3 linked regions of the Tamandua tetradactyla genome follow. The protein of the gene in region 1 interacts with the protein of each later gene in a biochemical or structural test. Links are inferred from orthologs where the notes say so. Each region holds a gene or a part of one and is shown on either strand. Other genes may lie near its edges.

The links.
Region 2: the proteins of BCL2L2 (region 1) and BAD interact in a biophysical measurement, tested with the Homo sapiens proteins (4 studies listed by BioGRID and IntAct, with this or other methods). The link is inferred for Tamandua tetradactyla from reciprocal best matches to the Homo sapiens genes BCL2L2 and BAD.
Region 3: the proteins of BCL2L2 (region 1) and BIK interact in a biophysical measurement, tested with the Homo sapiens proteins (2 studies listed by BioGRID and IntAct, with this or other methods). The link is inferred for Tamandua tetradactyla from reciprocal best matches to the Homo sapiens genes BCL2L2 and BIK.

What each region holds. Positions count from the first base shown.
Region 1 is NC_135340.1:31,574,275-31,582,331, forward strand, and holds the start of BCL2L2 (bcl-2-like protein 2), read right to left. Parts: upstream 3,048-8,057; 5' UTR 2,955-3,047; exon of another isoform or gene 2,655-2,954; 5' UTR 2,567-2,654; exon of another isoform or gene 2,430-2,566; intron 2,127-2,429; 5' UTR 2,119-2,126; coding exon 1,687-2,118; exon of another isoform or gene 1,635-1,686; intron 1,146-1,634; exon of another isoform or gene 1,047-1,145; coding exon 897-1,046; 3' UTR 1-896. Other genes in the region: PPP1R3E (protein phosphatase 1 regulatory subunit 3E), read left to right, coding at 7,409-7,825. UniProt on the Homo sapiens protein: Promotes cell survival. Blocks dexamethasone-induced apoptosis. Mediates survival of postmitotic Sertoli cells by suppressing death-promoting activity of BAX.
Region 2 is NC_135335.1:10,363,087-10,371,027, reverse strand, and holds the start of BAD (bcl2-associated agonist of cell death), read right to left. Parts: upstream 3,080-7,941; 5' UTR 2,957-3,079; exon of another isoform or gene 2,922-2,956; intron 2,882-2,921; exon of another isoform or gene 2,057-2,881; intron 1,972-2,056; 5' UTR 1,964-1,971; coding exon 1,786-1,963; intron 1-1,785. Other genes in the region: integral membrane protein GPR137, read left to right, coding at 3,779-3,832, 3,919-4,368, 4,513-4,562, 5,258-5,483, 5,587-5,736, 5,836-5,964, 6,112-6,230, 6,539-6,698. UniProt on the Homo sapiens protein: Promotes cell death. Successfully competes for the binding to Bcl-X(L), Bcl-2 and Bcl-W, thereby affecting the level of heterodimerization of these proteins with BAX. Can reverse the death repressor activity of Bcl-X(L), but not that of Bcl-2.
Region 3 is NC_135333.1:36,798,862-36,805,983, reverse strand, and holds the start of BIK (bcl-2-interacting killer), read right to left. Parts: upstream 3,059-7,122; coding exon 2,990-3,058; intron 2,713-2,989; coding exon 2,561-2,712; intron 1-2,560.

The sequences.
Region 1 (8,057 bases):
GAGACAGGGAACACTTCTAGGCAACATTGTGTCCCAGTGGGAAAGGAGGGTGGCAGGCAGGTCCAGCTACCCAGGCCTCTACCCACCCAGGCTCCTCAGCCCTGCCTTTCCATCAGAGCCCAGAAGGCAGCAGCAAGTGCGTGATGCACAAGGAAGGGAGTGATGAAGGAACAAGGCCAGCTGCAGAACTGCTCTTTTCTCCAAAGCCCTGCCAACTACTTTTTGCAGAGAAGTGCCCTCAGCCTGGATAAAATGTTTCTCCCTCAGCCTTGAGACATCAGGATAAGAGGGGGAAGGAGGGAGCTGGGAGGAAGGGCAGAGAGCTGCCCCTTGTTCTTGCCACTGCAAGAGGGAATGTTTTAGCCTTGAAGAATACCACCACCGCCAGATTAGACAAGCAGCCCAGCATGCACATGAGCACACGTGCACATGCACACGTGTGTCCAAGCAGCCCACCGTCACAGCCACCTCTCCCTATCACCTGAGTACCCTGAGCTTCCATTCCAAAGGGATGTACCTTCTATGTCTCCCCAAATTCCACCCATCCAGTGGTGATGCAACCCCCTATGCAAGTCTACCTTCTTTAGGGCTGCAAACCACGCTCCAGGTGCAGTTCCGTGTGCCCACACCTATAGGCATGATCCCTCCCACCACCCCCCACCCCTGGAATGTGACTATCTCTTGGCCCTCCAGCCTTCCCAGTACATTCATTCTCCAGTGTCTCCAGCTCAACTTCCAACCACCTGCTTCACTCAGCTCCCTCACACCCTCTACTTCCCCTTCCCATCCCCGTTTCCTGCCCATCTATTCACCCCACTTCTTCCAAGGGCATTTCTCTTTTCTGTTCCTGCTCCTGTCCCCCAGCCACACCTAGCCCCACCTGGCCCTGGACTTTTTCACTTGCTAGCAAAAAAGGCCCCTACAGTTACCAGGGCCCCCAGTGCCACGGCCCCCGTCAGCACTGTCCTCACTGATGCCCAGTTCCCCTCCCGCAGACGCCGCGCCTCCTCCAGGGCCCCGTCCCCGTATAGAGCTGTGAACTCCGCCTGTGGGAGAGAAGGGAAGTAGGAGAGAGAAGGAGAAAGGATATCAGGAGAGGAAAGAATGGAGAAAAAAGGAGAGGAAGAGTTCCAGTTCCATCCACTGTGAGCACCCCCAAACACCCAGTTCCTCTCTGACCAAAGCTCTGCTGGCCTCGAGCCCCTCTGATACTCCCATGTGTCCCCCATGAGCACGTGGCTCATTCGCCCTGTCAGTCTCAGGTGACTCCCATCCTTACTTGGTCAAAAATTCTGCTCAGAGCTGGCATCCTTCACCAGGTCTTGCCCACCCCCGACCCCCTCACTGCTTCCCCTATGCTATCCACGTACTTGGGTGTAGAAAGCTCCTGAAAGCCTCGCCTAACACCTACAGGCTTTCCTTGGGCTGTGTAGTCTGTCCTCTCTGCTTGGGACCATGAGCCTGTCCAGTGACTACTGCATGGCAGCGAGCCCTGACGTGCAGAGTCCAGCGTGTGCCCACAGGGAGGGTGTCTCTCAGTCTGATTCTACCCAAACAGGGGAACTCAGCTCCCATGCCTCATTCCCAGCACAGCTCTCCCCAGCCCCCAGTCAGAGCCCCCACCTTCCCCCCAGGAGATCAGTTTTGCAGAGGGATGGGCAGAGCAACAACTGAGAAGCTTCTTACCCAGCCGCCACTGCTGTGGATCCAGTCAGCCAGCCGTGTCTCCAGGTAGGTCACCATCCACTCCTGCACTTGTCCCACCAGAGGCTCCATCTCCTTATTGACACTCTCAGCACACAGCGCAGCCCCAAAGACAAAGAAGGCCACAAGGCGGCCCCAGTTGGGACCCCCTTGGAAAAGTTCATCAGAGACCTGGGTGAAGCGCTGCTGGGCAGAGCCGGGGGTCACATGCAGCTGAGCCGCCAGGTCAGAGAAGGTGCGCCGGAAGCGGGTCTCAAACTCATCTCCCGCCGCCCGCATGGCTTGGTGCAGCGGGTCAGCTGCTGGGCTCTCCCCGGGGCCAGCGCCACAGACATAACCCTTCTGCCTCAGCTTGTAGCCTACAAAGTCTGCAACCAAAGCCCGTGTGTCTGGGGCTGAGGCAGGGGTCGCCATCCGGGCGGCTGCAAGAGTCAGGGATGAAAGACTGGCATGAATATACGGAAGGGACCCAGAAGGCACAGCTCAGGCTCAGCCATCCAGTGAGACAGGGTAGGGGTGGGAGGGGACACTCAGAGACCGCTGGGCAAGGAGGTCTAAGAACAGGGGACTTAAATCATGGTGAGGCATCCAAGCCTGAGGGGCTGCAATCAAATGTGTAATATGCCAAAGTAAATGGTACTACATCAGATTCTTGCCATAAAAAGACAACACCAGCTTTATGACAGCCCTACAAACCTCCTCTTCGTATATCCTTTGGGCTACAGGAAAGCACTTAGAACCTCCCAGAGGCAAGATGTGAAGATGCTGGCAGAGGCACAAGATGGGGAGGAGACAAGGGCTGAAGAGAAAGGTAGGAGAAGCAAAGGGTTGCCCGGGGCCGAGAAAGGAGGGGGACACTCACCCAGCCTGGATGGCAGCTCTTAGGACCCAGCGCTGGTGGCAAGGAGCCCCCAGCTGGGGCCTTTCATCCTCCCGGCCAGCGTGGAACCCTGGGAAGGTGAGGGGGAGATCAGAGCTAGGTGGGGAAGGCCAGGGATCAGGGTCTGGCCTGAGCAGGGCTGGGGTTGCAGCTCTTGGGACCGGGCCCCTGCCCCCAGCGTTCTACCAGCTGTGTGGCCGAATCCATGTTTAATGACTGTCCTCCCGGGAAACCCAGAGCCAAGGGCTTCCTGCCGACACCATCTCCACTCCCAGCTTCCCCCCAGTGCAGCCCAAAGGCCCAGCTCCTCCCTTACCCCCACCCTCAGCCTGTCTCCAACCCCGCCCGCCGGCCAGGTTAGGGATCTCACGGGTCAGGCCGCGGCCGAGATCCAGGCCGTTTCCTGGTGCAGGAGCTGGGAGGGAGGGAGAAAGGGAGGAAGGGAGGGAAGGAAAGAGGGAGGAGAAAGGGGGGGTGGGAGGGAGGGCCCGGCGCCGGGTGATGATGGGGCCCAGAGATGCGTCCAGAGAGAGGGGCGGGGCTGGGACGCAGGCCTGGGAAGGGCCACAACTAGGGAAAAGAGAGGGCCTCTGAAGGGCAGGGAGAGCTGGGTGAAGAGGGCACCATGGGCCAGCCTCAGAGCTGCCCAGGGAAGTGCTCCAGGCCTCGGGAAATCTCGGAACCCATTCAGCATTTCCAGATGGTCTCTGATGCCTCATGCACTTGTTGAACTTTTCCAGGCCTGGAGTGGGTGCCCAGGAAAGAGGAGCAGTTCCCATTACCCTGAAATCTGCCTGCCAGGTTCTTTGCCCTTGGGCGACTAGTAGATAGTCACCAAACCTTTCCCAACCTCTTTTCTCCAGGGCCTTTAATCAATGGTCTTCCCATGGGCTGGGGCTCTGGCCAGACATCCAGGGGCTAGAACTTGGATTGCAAACAGTTCATGCAGGTAACTTTTCTTCTTCTTTTTTTTTTGAAATCAAATTGATTTTCTTAAAAATTGTTTTTTTACTCAGCACATGAACTCATTCTCATTATGGAAAAGTCAAACAATATAGAGGTATAGAGCAAAAACGACAAATTCTCGACTTCACTTACCTCCACCGCCCCCCCCATTCTACCTCCCTCCCTGGAGGTTGCCAGTGTTAAAGTTGATGTTTTGTTTATCCTTTCAGATTTGTGGTGGCTGTGTATATAAGCATATATGTGTGTGTGTATATGAATGTGTGTATACGTATGTGTGATTATACACATACGCAAAATATTAGACTTTTATTACATACACTAAATCATATGGTAAATATTATTCAGTAACTCATTTTTTCCTGTGATACTGGAGATTTATCCAAGTTATTATTTAATGTCGCAGCGCAACATTGCCCTGCTCTGCGTTGATCCCATAACCCCAGGGCTTCAAAGAAATTTATTCTCCAGATAGCATGTCTCTGGATGACCTATGAACCTTTTCTCTCTCCCACACATGGCACATGTGCATAGAGCTAAGGAGCCCAGGGCAGTTCAGAAGTGAGGGAGTCTGGCCACAGCTGATCCACCCAAAGCCTTCACAGGCATTCTTCCTGGGACCCCTCATGGGGGCTGGAGTGGGGGTGGGAGCGGCTGGTTTCACAGAGGCCTCAATCCCTTGCAGCCAGCACTTCCTTTGGGCCCATTTCGAAGGAGCCCCAACCAAAGGCCAGAAAGAGGTAACCCAGTTCTCCTGCTTTCCTGCTGGTTTCCTCTGTTTCTGCTTCCGGTCCAAGCCTTGGTATTCCTATCTGCTTCTATGGTCACTTGGAGAAGCAAGGGCTTTTCTGTAACAATAACAGCAACAACTAATACACTTTGAGGATTAATTAGATGCTAAATGCTTTCTTTACAAGCATGATATTTCATCCTTACACCAATCCTTATGCTGCTTTATCTTCATTCTGTCGATGAGGAAATTGAGACTTGGTGAGGTTAAATAATTTGCCCAAAGGTGAATTGAAAGGTGAAGCTGGGACTCAACCTAATTCCATCTAACCTGAAAGCTTATCGTCTTAACTTTGATACACTAGACTACTTCAAGGTCACATCTTTCCTTTAGGTATTCATTGCAGTTCTCACAGTCTGAATTCCTACCATTCACAAGTTCAAACTCAGTTTTCTCCTCTTTTCCAAGTGCACATTTTAGTCCATTCCTTTTTGGCTGTATCCCTCCTACCATCTTCAATTCTCCTTTGCTCTTGGGCTGATCATTCCAGTAAGGCTGCCCCCTTTTTTAGAGAATAACCCAATCAAGGCCTTCAATTGGAATTGTAGTTTCTTCTAAGAAACTTACTTGAAATAAAACACTTTTAAATCTCAGGATCCAAATATATTTGCCATTTATTCAAAACCTCCTTGAGAGCAGAAACTAAGTTTTATCCATGTTTGCATCTTCATAGCCTAATAGACTCTCAGTAAATTCTGAGTGAACCAATCAACGCCTCTGGCCAGTTATTGAACAGTCTCAGCCAGACGTGAAAATAGCTACAGTAGTTGCTTAAGAAATAAAGGCTGATTTAGAAGAAAGATTTAATCTAGGTCTGAGCAGCCAGGGGCACAGAGTTGCTGAACCAACACAACGTGTACCTGGTCCAAAGCTATGTACCTCTAGGATTTTCTCAGACCAACACCGCAGAGCCAAGAAGGAACAGCAACTCAATCTGTAGACAAAGCAACACAGCCTTCACCCAAAAAACTAACATCATATTCCTTCAATGACACATATTTTACCAGGGCAAGAAAGACAGTTTTAAACTGCTTGACTGTAACATAAATTAGTATATGATTATTTTATACCCTCAGATATGAAGATGTCCATGGATTTTGTATGCATATGTAAAATAAAAACAAAACTCAATTGTTGTTTTAAAAATGAGTCCTGGGCAGGCGATGGTGGCTCAGCAGGCAGAGTTCTTGCCTGCCATGCCCCAGAACTGGTTGATTGCAGGTGCCTGCTCATGCAAAAAAAAAAAGAGTCCTGGCTAAAGAGCATTGCTATGGTAAATACCAGAGTTAAAATGCAAACAAGAATGAGGTGGACAATAATAAGATACACATCGTTTATTAATAGCTTAGTCTCTTGTGATTTTACAATTAAACTATCCTGCTGTTCTAAATCTAGAGATGACATTTCTACTCTGATTGTCCAATACTGTAAAGATGTTAACGATTTTCATTAAATGTTTTACCCTTATATAACCATGAGGATTAGAAAGTGGACTCTAGAGCCAGACTGCTGGGGTCCAAATTTCCCAGCCCCCCAGTTATTATAGCTATGTGACCCTGGGGCAAGGGTCCTAACCCCTCCCTGCCTTGATTTTTGCATCTATAAAATAGGGATACTAATACTCCCTGCTCCTAAGATAGCTGCATTTCACGAGTTAATATTTGTAAAGCTCTTAAAACAGTACCTAGAATATTGCAAGTGCTATATAAGATTAGTGGGAAAGTTAGAAAGACAAAAAAGAAAAAGAAAAAACACTTCTTGTGCTTTTTCAGTAAAGTAGAAAAGATGAAAGGGGGAAAGCCGGCTCTGTGCCCTACTTGGTCTAAGATATGTCCACTGGAACAAGAACCCAACAATCCCAGATCCAAGAGGGTTGTAGAAAGCAAGGGGTAAGGGGTATGGTATGTATAATCTTTTTTTTTTCTCTATTATCGTTTTATTTCTTTTTCTGTTGTCTTTTTATTTCTTTTTCTAAATCGATGCAAATGTTCTAAGAAATGAATATGCAACTATGTGATGGTATTAAGAATTACTGATTGTATGTGTAGAATGGAATGATATCTTAATGTTTTGTTTGTTAATTTTTAATTAATAAAAAAGTTTAAAAAAAAAAAGAGTTGTAGAGTGCAAATTATGCACTCAATAATTTGAGGGTCTGTATGTAACGAGATTGACCATGAAGCAGACGCAGCCCCTGCCCCTGAAGGGCTCACCATCGGGTTAGAGATCATATACCTTTAACCCGTTTTTGCTGTTGTTGTTTTACAGAGAAGAAAACTGAGGTCCAGAGAAGTTGTGCCTTGCTTAAGGTCAGGCTAAACAGTACCACAGGCGGAGGTACAACTCAGTCCAGAACTCTTTCCAACTGGCAGGGCTCAGCCACCTACCCTTTTGAACACCACGTCTCATCTTCTATTGGAAAGCCTCTACCTAGCCTTCCTGACCTGACCTTCCCGTCTCTGCGCCCACCATCACCCGCCACCCAAACCTGAAGCCTCCGGTTGTAGGAAGAAAACAGTAAGCCCTGAAGATAAAGTTACACACTGAAAGTTTTGAACCTTCTCAGCAAGAAAAGGAAAGGTTACTCGTCCCTCCCTCAGTTAACCATTTCCGTGCCGGAGAGGTTGAGGACATGAAGGGAAGGCAAGGTGGCCTCACCTGGGACCGAAAGGGTGGAATCCCCGCCCCCTGGTGCAGCAGCAGCCGCAGCAGAGACAGATGGGGAGCCACCTGTCAGAAGGCTGCGGGCGGGAGCCGGGGCGGCGGAGGCCGCGGAGGCCGCGGGGCTGGAGGGTGAGCGCCGTTGAGCGCACGCTCAGACGAGGGAGCTCGCAGGAGGTGACGGTCCCAGACCCTGGAGCGGACGCCGGGCCGGAGGGAGGGAAGGTTGCCTCAGAGACGAGGCAGAGGAAGGGGAAGTTAAGACTCTTGGAGGTGACAGCAAGGAGAGTACGCAATGGCGAGGGGGTGCTGAGCCGACCTCGCGCCATCGGGGGACGCGGGGCGGGAGGGAGAGCCGGAGAGAGGGGAGCGTGCAGCGCTGCGGGCGCCCGCCCGCGCTGGGGGATGCCATGTCCCGCGAGCGTCCCCCTCGCACCGACATCCCCCGCAACCTGAGCTTTATTGCCGCGCTAACCGAGCGCGCCTACTACCGCAGCCAACGGCCCAGCCTCGAGGAAGAGCCGGAGGAGGAGACAGGCGAGGGCGGGACGAGGCTCGGGGCCCGGTCCCGCGCTCACGCTCCGAGTCGGGGCCGCCGGGCCCGCTCAGCGCCCGCCGGAGGCGGGGGGTTCCGAGCGCCCCGCAGCCGCAGCCCCGACACTCGCAAGAGAGTGCGCTTCGCGGATGCCCTGGGGCTGGAGCTGGCTGCGGTGCGCCGCTTCCGTCCAGGAGAGATACCCCGGGTGCCCCGCCACGTGCAGGTGCAGCTGCAGAGGGACGCACTCCGTCACTTCGCTCCGTGCCAGCCCCGACCCCGCGGCCTCCAGGTAGGCGGCAGGGACACGCCCCCTCCCCGGAGGCCCCACCTGTGTCCCTATCCAACCGCGGCGGGCGTGTGGGCATGGATTACTCCAGGAACAGCCATCTCTATCCCCTGTCCTGCGCTTGCTCTTGGTAGCCCCTTTTGGGAGCTGGCTTGTGATTGGCCCACTGCCTCGCCCCCTGTCTCCCCGCCCCTGTGCGCCCCTGTCTTCCCCCCATCTTCCCTCTTTCCCCCAG
Region 2 (7,941 bases), on another chromosome or scaffold:
GAAGCGTCCTCTGACCTCACATGGACCAAACAGGGCTCCTGACTGCCACCCGTACCCCACCCTCTGCCACCTCAGTTAAGGGCTACTCCATCCCTGCAGGGGCTCAGGCCAAAAATTTGGGGGCGCCCCCTCCCCTTGACTCCTCCTTCTCAACCTTCACCCAGTCGCCAGCAAATCACACCAGCTGGACCTTTCAAACAGACCTGGAATCCAGCTTCTTCTCACCACCCGCCGCTGTCACCACCCTGGCCCAACCCCCCCTCTTTTCTTTCCTGGATTATTGCGACAGGATTATCTCTGCTTCTGTTTTTGCCAGTTACAGTCTCCCCTCAACCCTGGTGATGGTAATGCCCCAATCCCATCACACCCTCTCAGCTCAAAGGCCTTCCAGCGTTTGCATTCGGGGTTAAAGCCAAAGCCCTTCCTTCCAATGGCCTTCCAGACCCAGCCCAGATTGCCTGTGCCCGTCCCTGTCCCTTGTCCCTTAACTCTTTTACTCTCCTCTCCAACTTTGTTTCCCCTCACTGTCCCCTCCAGCCATAGAAGCCCGGGACAATGCAGTCACTACCTTGCCCCCAGGGCCTTAGCATTTGCTGTTCCCGCCACCTGGAAGGCTTTCCCACAGGTATCTGCCGGAACCTCTTGCTTCTTAGCTAGGTTGACCACCCCATGCCCTAGGGCTCCACATTCTCTTTTCTCTGCAGCTTTCCCTCCACCCACCCAGCAGCAATACAAACCTCTATCACATTCTGTAATTTCCTTTGTCGGCTTGTTTGTTTATGGCCTGTCTCTCCCCATCCCACTAGAGATGTGAGCTCCACAAGGCCAGGATTTTTATTTCTTTTGCTCACAGATGTAACTGAACAGTGCGTGGCCCACGTCAAGCACTCAATCGGTGGAGCATGTGAATGCTGCCAGGGGAACCAAAGGATGAGTACTATTGCTAGGTGTGTGTGTGTGTTGGGGGTGAAACAACAAATAAAAAGATCTGGAAATTATTAGAGTGTGTGTGTGAGCGAGGGGTTGGGGGGGTTGAGATAGAGGCTGCATAAGCTTTCATGCTCCTGAAGAAAACAGGGACTGGGATCATGTTTTTGTTTTCCAGAAGGCCTCTGGGATTGTCCCAGGGCAGGGACCTAGGCCTGTGCTGAGCACGGGGGACTACTGAGAAATGTCCCCAGCAGTGGGCCTCAGTGGATGCAAGGACAGCCCAGGTTGCAGGGGTACTTCTACTAGCATCTTTCTCAAACCCCCACAGGCCCCGCTGCCTGGGAGAGCTGTCTACCACTTGGGGTCACCTGCCCCTGGCAGCTGAGGTTAGCCCTGGAGTGGGCAGGAGCTGGAAGGAAGCTAGAAAGCCCAGTCCCAGGGAAAGAAGGCAGCCTGGGGGTGGGGTATAGTCTGCGGCAGGGCATAGCCTAGGGGCAGGGCACCAAGGAGTCTCCCAGCCCCACCTACCAAAGGAACCTCCATCAAGCAAGTGTGGCCTTAGGCAAGTCACTTCCCCTTTCTCCCTGCCTGTTCTTTTGATTTGTCCTGGCCCTACAATAACAGCTATGTTTTCTTCCGAGCAAGTACTCTGCATCAGTACTCTATAATTTAGTGCTTCCTATATATTGCTGCTAATACCCAACAGCCTTTGAGTGGTGATGAGTGTTCTGTTTTACAGAAGAGGAAAACCGAGGCTCAGAAAGGTTATGGACTTATCCAAAGCCAGTCAGTGAGTGTCAATGTGGCTGGGGTACAGGGGGCTATGAGGGCCAGGTGGTTGAAGAGATTGCCTACCTCCATGGTGGCTGCTGCCAGCTGGCTGCCCCTGATGACCGCTGTCGTCTCCCAGGAGGCCTGGAACCGTGTGGTGGTGCTTGCACAGGCCTGAAGGCTGGTCCCCTGAGGCTCTGGGGCCCAGATCCCTATCTGCAAGGCTGGAATCTTCCCGCTCAAACTCTGGGATCTGGAACATGCTCCGGGCTGTGGGGACAAGAGAGTGGGTGGTCAGGGCAGACAGCTGGGGCCGCTGCGGGTGGGGGGCAGGTACCCCTGGCTCCCTCCCTACCCGTGGAACCCGCAGATCCGGCCTGCCTCCCAGGCCCCCCATCTATCCTCAGAGTCTGGCCCGGATAGGAGGAGCTCAGCCTATCCACTCAGTACCCAACTCTACCATCGGGCCCTGGGGCTGTGAGGCAGTCCCCGGCTCGTTCCCGGCCAAGGCAACGGCCCACAGGTCTCACCCTAAGCCCAATCTCGAGGCCCCTGACCCGGGCCCGCCGCCTCCCTGCAGTACTCAGGGCGCCCGGCCCTAGTTACCTGGGCAACGGGAACTGTCACTGACCGGACCCAATAGGCTTTTGCAATGTCACTCGGGCCGGCCGCGAGGCGTGGCCAAACCGGGCCCCGCCCCACCGCCCGTCCTGCCCCTCGCCTTCTTCTCGGGTCCCGGGCTGGTCCCTGGATGCTCAGCTCCCAGCTTCCTCACGCCTGGGGTGTGTGCGGAAGCAGGTGAGGGATTCTCTGGAGTCCCCGTTTGGAGCCTGGAGACCTGCTTCTGCTGACAAGTCCTTCCGCCCCTCTGGGCCTTAGTTTCCACCCGTCTGGATTGGGGATAATGACACCTCCCTCAGCAGCCAGTGAAAACTTTGTAAACCGAGCAGTGATTGCTGGGGGCGAAAGCACCAGCCGAGGCCGTACTTGATGTCCAGCCGCGGCTCCAATTACTGTTACTGCTCGGTCTGCACTGGGTGACCCGGTCGGGAAGTCCCGCGCCCTCCTCCTCCCCAGCGTGGAAACCCCGCGCCTCCCGCAGCTGGGGCACCACTCCCGGCGCCGTCTCGGGTGCGCTCGAGATAAGAGAGGGAGCCTCGCCCTGGCAGGATGGCCGCCCGGGCTCAGGAGAAAGGACAGGGGCCCCTGTGAGGGCGAACCGTAGGGCTGGTGGGGCGGCGTGCAAGGCTCTGACCAGGTGAGCGGGAGCCGCGGTGGGACCCCGCGGGTTAAGGGCCCGGGGGCGGGGCCCGGGGAGCCATCTTGACTGTGGGCGGAAGTGTCCTTCAGAGGCGAAGTCCCCGCCCCCGTGCGGGCGGCGCGATCCAAATCGGGAATAGGGGAGGGAAACGTGGGAGCCCGCGCAGTGGTCCAGGCCACGGCGCCCCCCCAGGGCGTACGGGCGGGTGCGGCGCCCTCCCCGCGTCCCTGCCGCCCGCCACCTCGCGTAACCCCTGGCACCCGCCCGCAGCGCAGCTCGCGCCGATTCTCGAACCGCCCCACGGCGGGCGCGGCGCGGGGCTGCGGAGCCAGGGCCGGCCCCTGCGCAATTTGCGTAGCGAACGGCGCAGGCGCAGGCTCAGGAGGGGGCGGAACAGCGGGAGCCGGGGAGCTGGAGCTCCGGGTCCCGGCGACCGGAGCCGGCTCCCCAGCGGCGGCCGCGGGCACCCGGTGTCGGCCTCTTCCCGCCCCCCGCGACCAGAGAGCGGACGCGGTGGGGGGTGGGGTGGGGGCGGCGTCCGGAATCCCGAGAGGGCAGAGGCGCTCCCCCCACCCCGATTACTGGAAGGGAGCGAGTTCCCTCCCAGCCTGGGGAGGGGGAGAGCGGGACGTTGGGGCACCCCTGCAGTGGCCGCTGTCCTGAGCAAACGGACATAGGCCAGCTCTCCCCCTCCTGCTGGGACCCTCCCGAGCGACCAAGGCCTGGGACCCCTCTCCTTCAGCATCTGCACCCCCACACCCAGGGTTCTGGGGGTGGCCCAAGGAGGAGACCCCCGTCTGCTCTGGAGAGGAGCGTATGTCCCTGCGTGAGGAGCTCCGGCTCAGGGCCCAGGCTGTCGGTGCCCCCCAGGTGCAAAGGGTCTCTCTGGCACGGAAGAAGGGCCTGCGCCAGCCACAACTTCTTTCCTCCTGAACTCCCCCATCTCTCTGTCTCAGCACCCTGTGATCCTCTCCCCTCTGTATTTATTTCCCTGGCTGCCGGCCAGCCCCTCCATCTCTGTCTCCGGGATTCGGGCCGCCGTCCCTGCCATGGAGAGTAACCTGTCTGGCCTGGTGCCTGCTGCTGGGCTGGTGCCTGCGCTGCCGCCCGCCGTGACCCTGGGACTCACTGCAGCCTACACCACCCTGTACGCCCTGCTCTTCTTCTCCGTCTATGCCCAGCTCTGGCTGGTGCTCCTGTATGGGCACAAGCGTCTCAGCTATCAGACGGTGTTCCTGGCACTCTGTCTGCTGTGGGCTGCCTTGCGTACCACCCTCTTTTCCTTCTACTTCCGAGATACCCCGCGAGCCAACCGCCTGGGGCCCCTGCCCTTTTGGCTTCTCTACTGCTGCCCCGTCTGCCTGCAATTCTTCACTCTGACCCTCATGAACCTCTACTTTGCCCAGGTAACTGTCGGAACGGGTGGTGTTGGAGGGTGTGTGTGTGTGTGTGTGTGTGTGTGTGTGTGTGTGTGTGTGTGTGTGTGTGTGTGTGTGTGTAGTGAGGGGCCCCCAAGGGCTGCAAAGACTGATGGGCATCTCTGCTCCCAGGTGGTGTTCAAGGCCAAGGCGAAGCGTCGGCCAGAGATGAGCCGAGGCTTGTAAGTACTCAGGGCACCGGGGGGGCTTGGGCCACCTCCCACCCCTCCTCACCTTGCTGGGCTGAGACGAAGACCTTCAGGGAATGTGTGTGAACGAGCTTGGAAAAGTTAAAGCACCTGGCACAGGTGGCGGGACTAGAGGCGTTGCGTGTGTGAAGGGCAACAATAATGGAAGCAGCTGTGAGCCTGTAAGGGCCAGGGGCGGCGGAGGGGGGTGTGCGCGATGAGGGTCTCATTGTCTGAGGAAAGGCAGGAAGCACCAGCCCATGGGTGCTCCAGAGTCAGACTGCACCTCTGGGTGACACTGGGCAGCAATGCCCCTGTGGTTTGTAAGAATATCTTAGAGTTTATAACAGAGCCGTCACAAACCTTTAAGTTTTACAATTAGCCTGTGAGGTCCTTATTATCCCCATCCGGGAGATGAAGAAACCGAAGCCCAGCCAGGTAAAGCAGCAGGTTCAAGGTCACAGAGCTGGCGGGAAGCAGAGCCAGGGCTCAAACCCAGGTGTCTGATTCCCGGTATCACAGCTGTCAGATCGCCTACCGACCTCTTTGGGCCTCAGTTTCCCCATCTGTCAAAGGGGAGGAGCAGGTCCCGACGGGCTCTGGGGTCTCCGGGGTCTCCGTGGGGAGGTGGGGTGGGCGGTGGGAGCCGGGGGGCCTCTACCTGGAGCCGACCGTGCTGTGGGCTGCAGGCTGGCTGTGCGCGGGGCCTTTGTGGGAGCCTCCCTGCTCTTTCTGCTGGTGAACGTGCTGTGCGCTGTGCTGTCCCACCGGCGCCGGGCACAGCCCTGGGCCCTGCTGCTGGTACGAGTCCTGGTGAGCGACTCCCTCTTCGTCATCTGCGCGCTCTCTCTTGCTGCCTGCCTCTGCCTGGTGGCCCGGCGGGCCCCCTCCACCAGCATCTACCTGGAAACCAAGGTAGGCCCCGAGGCTCGGATGCCCCGTGTATGGAACCGCGGTCCTCAGGGTAGAGAGGGAGCCGGGCGCTGCCTCTCCCTGAGCTGTCACAAACCTTTGCCAGGGGACCAGTGTGTGCCAGGCAGCTGCCATGGGTGGCGCCATGGTCCTACTCTATGCTAGCCGGGCCTGCTACAACTTGGCAGCCCTGGCCTTGGCCCCGCGGAGCCGGCTGGACGCCTTCGACTACGACTGGTACAACGTGTCCGATCAGGTGGGCATCCTGGAGCAGCCGCAGCTCCCGGCTGGCCCGCTGGTCCATTGGCACCATTGCAGATGGGAACAAGCCCTGTACCTTCCTTCCTTCCCCCAGGCGGACCTGGTGAATGACCTGGGGGACAAAGGGTACCTGGTGTTCGGCCTCATCCTCTTTGTGTGGGAGCTGTTGCCCACCACGCTGCTGGTGGGCTTTTTCCGGGTGCACCGGCCGGCACAGGACCTGGTGAGGGCCTCCAGTCCACCCCACCACCACCCCCCGCTGCAGGGCCGGTGGAGAGAGGGCCAGATGTGGCAGTGCCAGGGGCAGGGGGATTTATGGGAGGCCAGTGGCAGCCGGGAGAAGGTGCTGAGGGTGGTCTCCTCCCCCTAGAGCACCAGCCGCATCCTCAGTGGGCATGTCTTTGGCTCCCGTTCCTACTTCTTCGATCGAGCTGGGCACTGTGAGGACGACGGCTGCTCCTGGGAGCACAGCAGGGGTGAGAGCACCAGGTAGGAGTCCCCGCCCTGCCTCGGGAGCCTTGGGCACCTACAGCCTGGTCTTGTCCCCCCATCGCTGGCCCTGGCTGGGTTCTACCTCTGGTTTTTCTATTGCTGACCCCATGCCCCGCCCCATCCCAAGGTGCAGTTTGCAATGGTCTCGGGGGCTCAAGCCTTGGGCCCTGGAGGTCTGGGGCATGGGGCTGCTCCCCGGGAGCTCCTCCCAGCATGCTCTGTTCTAAGCCTCGGTCTCTCCCCCAGCTCCCATGCATGTGGCCCCAGTCACTGTCCTGGGACTGACCCTATTTCTCTGTCTGCAGCATGTCAGGCAGCCTAGGCTCAGGCAGCTGGTACGGCGCCATCGGGCGTGAGCCGGGCTGGTGCGGAGGCAGCCAGACGCGGACCTCTCCTCTGCTCTTCTCCCAGGTGCCGGGACCCGGCGGCCACCACCACTGTCTCTATTCCACCCCACAGACGTGAACCCCCACTCCCCTCCTGCTCCCCAGGATGCCCAGACCCCAGTCCCCCTTCACCCAGGCCCCTGGGCCAAGTTCATCTGCAGCTTCTTGCCTGGGGTCCCGGGGGCTGTGGCTGCCTGCTCCCCAGCGGGCTCCCTGGCTGCTCCTGTCGTAGTGAGCTTGTGCCGTCCCCCCCACTTAGGATGGGGGCCTGGCCGTAGCTGCCACATGCCCACAACACGCCGGCATGAGCTGCTGCCTCCGCGTCCACGCCGGAGCCAGCTACCTCTCCTGCATCAACCACTCAATAAACAGCGTCTGTCTCCTGTGTCTGTTCTTCTGTCCGTCTTCTCTTGACTGCTTTGTATTCTTCTCTCATCTCTGCCTGTTTGGTCAGCCTTGGCCTGAAGAGGGCTCCTGGGCTGAGAAGGGCTGCTGCCCTCTGCTGTGGCTGGTGGGCAAGGAGAGGGTGCCAAGGAGGGAAGAGAGACAGGTCTTTGTTCTCCCAGGCTCCTTTCCCCAAGACTTGCTTCAGATGTCACCTCCTTTTTGAAGCCTGCCATCTCCTGGTCAGGGAATGGTGGCTCATCCCCTAGGGCCTGTAGCATGGTGATTATGTGGCTATTATGCCTCTTACCCCCAATAAATGGGAACTTGGGGATACCCTGTTTCCTTCTCACCACCCTCAACCTGGCGTCCAGTTGCCAGGAGTTAGCCCAGGGCCTATGGAGGTGTTAGCATGGTGACCGAGCAGCTTGTGTCTATCAGGGCATGCATTTGGCTAGGTGGGCTGGCTGCCCCCCACCCCGCGTCTGCCTGGTGGTCTTGGGGTCCCCTTCTTTCTCTGCTCCTAATAGCATGGTCACTGCCCTCTGCTCCCATAGCCCTGTCAACCTGACACAGATCTGTCCCACTGCTGGGAGCTGTTTACTGGAGGGTCTGTTCCCTGTCCACCTATTTGGCTGTCCCAGCTCCTCAGAATTCCCCGGGCCTAGCACTGAGCCTGCCTAGCAACCCCTCCCTGGGACTCCCCTGGGCACCAGGGCTGGGGAGCCTCCAGAGAGGGTAACCAAGGATCACGGAGAATGGGCTCGAAGCTGGGTGATCACTTTGTTGGGATGAACATTGCTAACGTTTACAGGACTCTTTACCACCCCAGGCTCTATTTTGAACCTTGAGGAACGCTGGCCTCTTTAAAACCCAGAACAGCGGTCCCTTTTCTGTTGGGGAGAGAGAATCCTTGGGTTATAGTGACCTCCAGGTCC
Region 3 (7,122 bases), on another chromosome or scaffold:
CCGTGGCTGCAGCTCCAAGACTCACTTTTGAATCAAAGTCTTCCCCAGTTGCCACCTTCCATTTATTTTCCAGAAAGTTGATCAGAAGGGGAAAAATGGACCTGTTCGCAGTGGTCTCTGGTTTCTTCTCTGTGGCTTAGTGATTTCAGATGTCATTTTTCTGCTGTTATATGTACTAAGCACCTAAAACTCACAATAATTAACGTGTAGGCAGCCCTTCCATCTGTTACCCAAGTGCCCAGGCACCAGGATATGGCAGTGAACATGACATTCAAGGCTTCTCTTCTCACAGAAGTGAAGGCTAGGGGGGCCACTCTGTACACATTAACGCAGAAGATAACTTCCCACTTTCTACTGTGTTTTGAAGACAAAGCAAGGTCACAGACCAAGGGAGTGGTGGTAGGGAGGGAGGGGTGTTCAGGGAAGACTTCTCAGAGGAAGCGGCAACTGGGCCAAGAAGGCAAAGACAAAACGTATGAGGGGCCGAGCACCCAATGGGACTAAATGTTTCACCCGGGTGATCCCGAGGCCTCGCAATATCCCATGGAAGTTCACCCTGCATCCCCAGTGCTTGGAGATGGTCAGCAGCATTTATCAACTTCCCCATCACCCTCCTTCTTCCCCTAAAGCGACTAGAAGCTATCTTAGAAAGTTGATTAAATAATTTCGCAGCCCTGGAAAAGGACATTTTTGAGGTACTGGCCGAAAACCCACACCCTGGCAGCCAGTTTCCCCTGATATTTAATAACCATTATATAAACGAAAAGCTAGAAAAGTAAAGGAAAATGGTGCAACCAAGCTTGTGGGAAAGCCGCAGCTAAATCAGTCCCTAAAGGCTCCTGTGACCTTAAGGTTCAGAAGATAGTGGGAAATCCCCAAATCCAGGAGTGAGAAGCGAGGGGGAGGAGTGGAGAACAGACGAGGCAAGGCGGGAGGGCAGCGAGATAAGGAAGGTCAGGCAGGCTACTGAGCCTCCAGGCACCCAGGTACGCACAGCTGCCCGGGAGCAGAAGGACTCATTGCCACCTTTGCCTCTGGGAGAGGACCTGGCTCCTGCCTGTGATCACCTGTGCCCATCCATTCAGGGAACCACCACCAGACGGTATCAAGAAACACCAAAATTGTACCACTTGAGAAGTTATTCTGAGGCTCTGCCCAAAGAGGTGAAAAACTCCAAGTAGAAAAAAGGTTAAGTATCATTAACTCTAGGGTGCTGCTAACAGCTAGCTGCCCTTGGGCTGGCATGGCTTCTCCATACCTGGCCAGACTCCTCCGGGGTTCCTTTAGAGAATGCAGTAATCTCTATTTTACAGAAGGAGGAAACTGAGGCTCAAAGAGGTGAAGTAGCCTGTGGAAGTCCACATAGCTGGAAAGCCGCTGAGTGGAGAGCAGAGTCTTGGCTTCAAGAAAACAGCTCTGGGTTTTGAGCTCTGCAGCTTGGGTATTTGTTTATATCCCTTTCTGGGCGGTGGGAGGCTGGTCTCAGTTTCTCCGTCTGTAAAATGAAATCTCCTGTGTCGGGAGCGGCTAGCACATCTTCCTAGTATGGGCTGGATTTTCCCCTTCTCAACGTGGGAACTACAAGGCTGCTAACTGTCCCTTTCTCTGCGAACTGGGGCAAGGATTACAGGTGTGTGTGTGGGGGGGGGCACTTGATACAGGGCCGGTCACAGCAGGTGCTCAAAAAATGTTGCAAGTGCAGCGGCAACAACGTCCCGTGCCCCAGGGATGGATGGTCCGGGAGAATATCAGAGTAGCAATTACCGGTTTCCAAAGCGGACGCGCATCCAGGAGGCCAAGGCGCCACCGCGAAAGTTGAACAAGCCGGGAGCCCGCCAGCGCTTATTAAAGCCGGGCCCGCAGGCTGCGCCGGGTCCCCTCCCGGGTGACCGAAGAACCGCGTCCCCGAGCCCATTCAAACGCTAAGCGCGCGGGCTGGCGGCTCCCTGTTTACAAAACAAGAGCCTGGCGCCCCGCCTCGGGGTCGAGCCGCGGCTCCGCCCGCTGTGCGCACCTGTGCAGGGGCGTGGGCAGGTGCGGGTCAGCGGCGGCGCCCGGCTCCGCTCACCAGTTCCTGTTCCGGGCTTTCCCGGCGCTCTAAGATAAAGCCTTTCTCCGACCCCTCCGCAGGTGCGCGGAGGCTCCCGGCGCTCGGGTCCCGGTGGGGACAGGTGCCCGACGCCATCTTCCCTTTTTTTAGGGGAACCTGGGGCTCTGACGTCCCGGCTCTGGGCCTGGGGTCCGGCACCGCACTCTTGCCCGCCCAACCCATCCCCCGACGGCCCCCAATAGATCGAGATCGAGATGGAGCCCAGAGCCGGGAGGCCGCGCAGGAGGGCGGCGCCGGGCAAGGGGGCCACCACCCCATTGCTCAGATGCGGAGATTGAGGCCCGCAGGGGGCCGCAACTGGAATCATCCGGGGCGATCGCAGAGCCGAGGTCTCCGAGTCTCCGCTCCGCACATACCACATCCTACACTTTCCCTGGGGACGAAAACCTGGGCCACGGGTCCTCAGCCTTCCACCCGCTCGGACCCCCCGGCGACCCCCAGGGCGTTTACCTGCCCGGCTCGGGCTGGGCGGAGGGTCGGACAGCAGCGAGGTAGAGGACGCGGGCGGGGCGCGTTTGGATCGCAGTCACCCCCGCGGCGGTGGCTACAGTGCCGGCGGCGTCTGGCGGTGGCGTGACCCGGGAGGTGTATTGTCTGAGGCTCTGCGGACGGCCCGGGACAGGATAGGCCGGCCGGGCCCCGCCCACGCCCCGCCCAAGCCCCTCTCTTCAGGGGGGTTCGCGCCCGCGGCCCAGCCTCCATCCCGCCCGCTCTGGCCCCGACGCCGTCGGCCCCGCCCTTTCCCCCTCCCACCTGGAATTCGAGGCCCCGCCCGCCCTGCGACCCCGCCCCCAGGGCGGCCTCCTTCGCCCCACCTCCCGGAGGCCAAGACTGAGACCGCAAATGGTAACAGAACTGCTACAAGTGTAATCTGCGTACTTGTTTATTGTCTCTGTGGCTCCGCAAATCTGCAAGCTTGTTTTTGTCCTTTCGCTGCCGACTGTGCATGCAGTAGCCCAGGCGGAATATTTGGGGATGGAGCTACTGGCCAAATCTGCGCCACTGTATACAACCTTCATTCCGTTCAAAAAAGTCCTAAGGGGTCGGTGCTTTTTCCGGTGCCCATTTTACCGATGAGAAAACTGAGGCTCAGAGAGGACAAAATGACTTGCTGAGTGGCAGTGTGAAGTCAGTGCTCAGATATCCGTACTCTTTACACTGGTAGCTTCGGGAATTAGGTATTTGTAAGCAAATTTCGCAAATGTAGAAAATAGGGCAGCTTCCCCCCACCCCCATCACTGCTTCCATCCCGGCTTGGTGCAGCCTTTGGCCTGCACACACCTGTTCCCGGTACCCCCCAAGCCTTGCAAAGCTGGGGCATCCTGACCTGCCCTGGGGCTCCTTGTTGCAAGAAAATGGAGGGTGGACAAGCAGTGGAGGCTAGAGCGAGGTGGTGCCCAGAGCTCCTGTGGAAGCAGGAGGAATGGAAGGAGCCCTGAGTGGGGGGAGGGAGCAGAAACCCCCAGGCCAGGCCTAGGGGCTGTTTGGGGTGGAGGAAGGGAGAGGCTGAGCAGGGATAACAAAGTAACCTTTGTTTGGAGAACACAACAAGGCTTGTTTACCTCAGTCTGATCTGAGGGCATAGGGTGGGGCCCAGAGGGGGCTCCCTGGGCTGTTCTGCCATTTGCCACCTGTGGGGCCCTCAGGGTCACATCACCACTGGGGTGACCAGCCTCTCACTCAGTGTCCTCATGTGCTAAAAGGGAAGACGGCACCGACCCCTGGAGCTGTTAGGGTCAGAGGGGAAAGTTAGCGAAGCTTTGAAGAACTCAGAGCCCAAATGTCTTTGTAAATGCATGTCCCTGTCTTAATGAGGTCCCCAGGTCTCATAAAGCCTAAGCCCCACAAAGCCGCTGTCCCCAGGGTCTGGCCGGCCACAGGGTGCCTTACAGGCAGGAGTGAGGAGCCAGCAAAATACTCAGGGAAAGTGAAACAGAAGCGGTGACACAGGGTGTTACAGGCCAAAAGACCCGAGGTGGGTAGAAATGCCCCCTGAGGGCCCTCGGGTGAAGCAAGGGCACTGCAGAGGGCACAGAGTGGGCACTCAATCAATGTTAGCAGAGCAAACAGAGGAAGGAGGTCAGTCTGGGGATAGATGGGGGATAGAAGGGCTGGGAGGAGTGGGTTAAAAAAATTTGCCTTGCAAGTTCCCTTGGTAATATGCTGATTAAATGGAGGAAGAGGCAAAATCCTTTTGAATAAGAATTGGTCCTTTAGTCCAAAAAAGGCCCTGGGTTAGATGGCAAATGGTATTAACAGTTCAAGGATAAGGTGACTTGTCCCACCTGTTTGGCCCCCACACCTAGGGCTAAGCACTCCCTAATAAGGAGCTCCTGTACTCTTGCAGCCAACCACCCCCATGTGACAGGACGGACCACACCCCTTCCATATGACAAGCTGGAGCACTCACAGGGTGCGTGAACAGGCACGGGACAACTTGTGACCTGTTTTACAGATGGGGAAACTGAGGCTTAGCAGAGGGAGGACAGCAGCAGAGGTGGGTGCAAGTCCCGGGGATCCTGCACTCAGGCCCGTGGTGCAGTCCCTTCCTTACCTGAGTGGCAGTCCAGGGGAGCTGCCTCTGGGGCCTCTGAACCTTCCTAGCGACCCCCACCCCCCCACCCCCCCTCCACCCCCCCACCCAAGCCCCTCCTGCTGCGACCATGACCGCTTTTGTCTGTTATTCAAGGATCTACTGCCCACAGACCCTTGGGCACCACTTCAGGTTGTCATTGATATGCATTTATTTGCTTATTCATTTAACAAATTGAGTGAAACTTGGCACGTGCCAGGCAGGATGGTCGGTGATGGGGTCCAGAGATGACACATCCTAGTGCAGGAGATAGAGGATAAACCTGGTGACGGGAAAATAGTGTCCAGCAGTCACAGGCACAGCACCAGCGCAGGAGCGTGGAGCAGGGGAGGGGTGGAGGGTGGAGGACAGGGGTGGGCCTTTTAGCCAGGGTGGCCAGAGGAGGCTCTGAGCGAGGCGAACTTCGTGCACAGAGGGAAGTGAGGAGAGGAGCCTTCCAGAGACCTGAGGGTGATGCCCATGGCTGGAGAGGGGAAGGAAGGGACAGAGCTGGCAGCGTGTGCAGGGTGGACAAGAAAATGACCACCTGCTTGCCAAGTGCTGGCCTCGGTGTCCAGAGCCCCACCTGGAGAGCCAGAAGCTGGTGTGGGTTTGAAATGGCCCTGTCTGGCCACTCGTCATCCCAGACTTTTATGCCCAGCCTTGAGGTGACACCTTATCTGGAAAATCCCTGAGCTCTGCGGGCTCTGCGGAAGCCTGTGTAATATCAGGAGGGTCGGCTCCTCAAAGGGCTTCTCTGTTCTTTCCCAAGCTGGGCCTGAGTTTAGTGCCAGGAGGCAGAGCAGCCTGGCAGGCCCCCTCCTCACCCGTGCATTTCACCTGCGCCCTTCCCAGGAGCACCTCGCAGGGAGCACAGTGGGCCGGGCACATTGCCTGGGTGGTTTCATGTACCTCCTTCTGCTTGTATGAAAAATCCAGCATAGGCAAATCCATAGGGACAGAGTCTCCCCACTAGAGACCAGCCTTGGAGAGGGGTTCTAACCGGCACCAGGGCACACAGCCAAGAGGTTGGAACCCTTTGTCCCATCCACCTTTGAAGACTGTAGCTGGACTTCTGAAAGTCTGTGACACCCCACTCCCCGCTGCCACACCCAGAGTAAAGCAAACTTGTGTTTGATTATGAGTCTTCTCTGGGAAGACGACTTGCAGCCAGCCTGGTGGGTGAGATCTGAGATGTACCAAGTTCGAATCCTGCCTCTACCACCTGTATAGTGGTAAATGCACCTAACATACAATTTACCATTTTAAAGTGTAAAATTCAGTGCCATTTAATGCGTTCACAATGTTGTGCAAATGTAACCACTATCTAGTTCCAGAACATTTTCCACTCCAAAAGGAGCCCCACACCATTAAGCAGCCACTCCCCACTCTGCCCCCCCACCTCAGCCCCTGGCAACCTCTAATTTGCTTTGTATCTCTATGGATTTGCCTGTGCTGGACCTTTCATACAAGTGGAATCAGACAATATGTGGCCTTTTGTGTCAGGTACTTTCACTTAGCATAATGATTTCCAGGTTCAACCATCTCGTAGCATGTGTCAGAACTTCATTCCTTTTTATGGCTGAATGGTAAAGAGTTTTAACATGTCCACAAAAGGTACTGTATCTTGGAGATGTGTGATCTATTAGATAAAATAGTGTGTTTTACAAATTAGTGTGTCCACTATAAATCCCATACTTTTAAAAACATTTTTTATTATAAACTATAACATATACAAAGCAAAGAAAGAAAAAAGCAGTAATTTTCAAAGCACACCTCAGCAAGTAGTTACAGAACAGGTCCCAGAATTTGTCATGGGCTACCATTCCTCCAGATTTTTTCCTTCTAGATGCTCCTAAACGCTGGAGGCTAGACGGGATATTAATATAGTGATTCAGCAGTCATACTTGTTTTCCAAATCCTATTCTCTCTGCTATGCCTCCTCCATTCCCCCGGATCCTTCTCCTAATCCATAGGGATCCCTGGGCAATGCCCTTTCTGGCTTTTTTTTTTTTTTTTTTTTTTTTTTATTTAGAGAGAGGGAGGAAAGGAAGGAAAGACAGAGAAGGAAGGAAGGGAGGAAGAAAGGGAAACATTTTTAAACATTTTCTTGTTTTATTATATTTTGTTTGTTTGTTTGTTTTTTACATGGGCTGGGGCCGGGAATCGAACCGGGGTCCTCCGGCACGGCAGGCAAGCACTCTTGCCCGCTGAGCCACCGCGGCCCGCCCCCTTTCTGGCTTTTTCATGTTGTGAAGGGGTGTCAACACTAAAGGATAGGGGGAGGTAATTAATTGATAATCTTGGAGAGGCTGGTCCCTCTGGGTTTCAGGAATAAATCCCACATTTCTAAAAGTCCCTGTATAAGAAAGTTCTGGTAGGAAACACAACAAAGCAAAGTGGTCCTGTCTGGGCAGTAGGATTGCAGGTGGTCAAATTT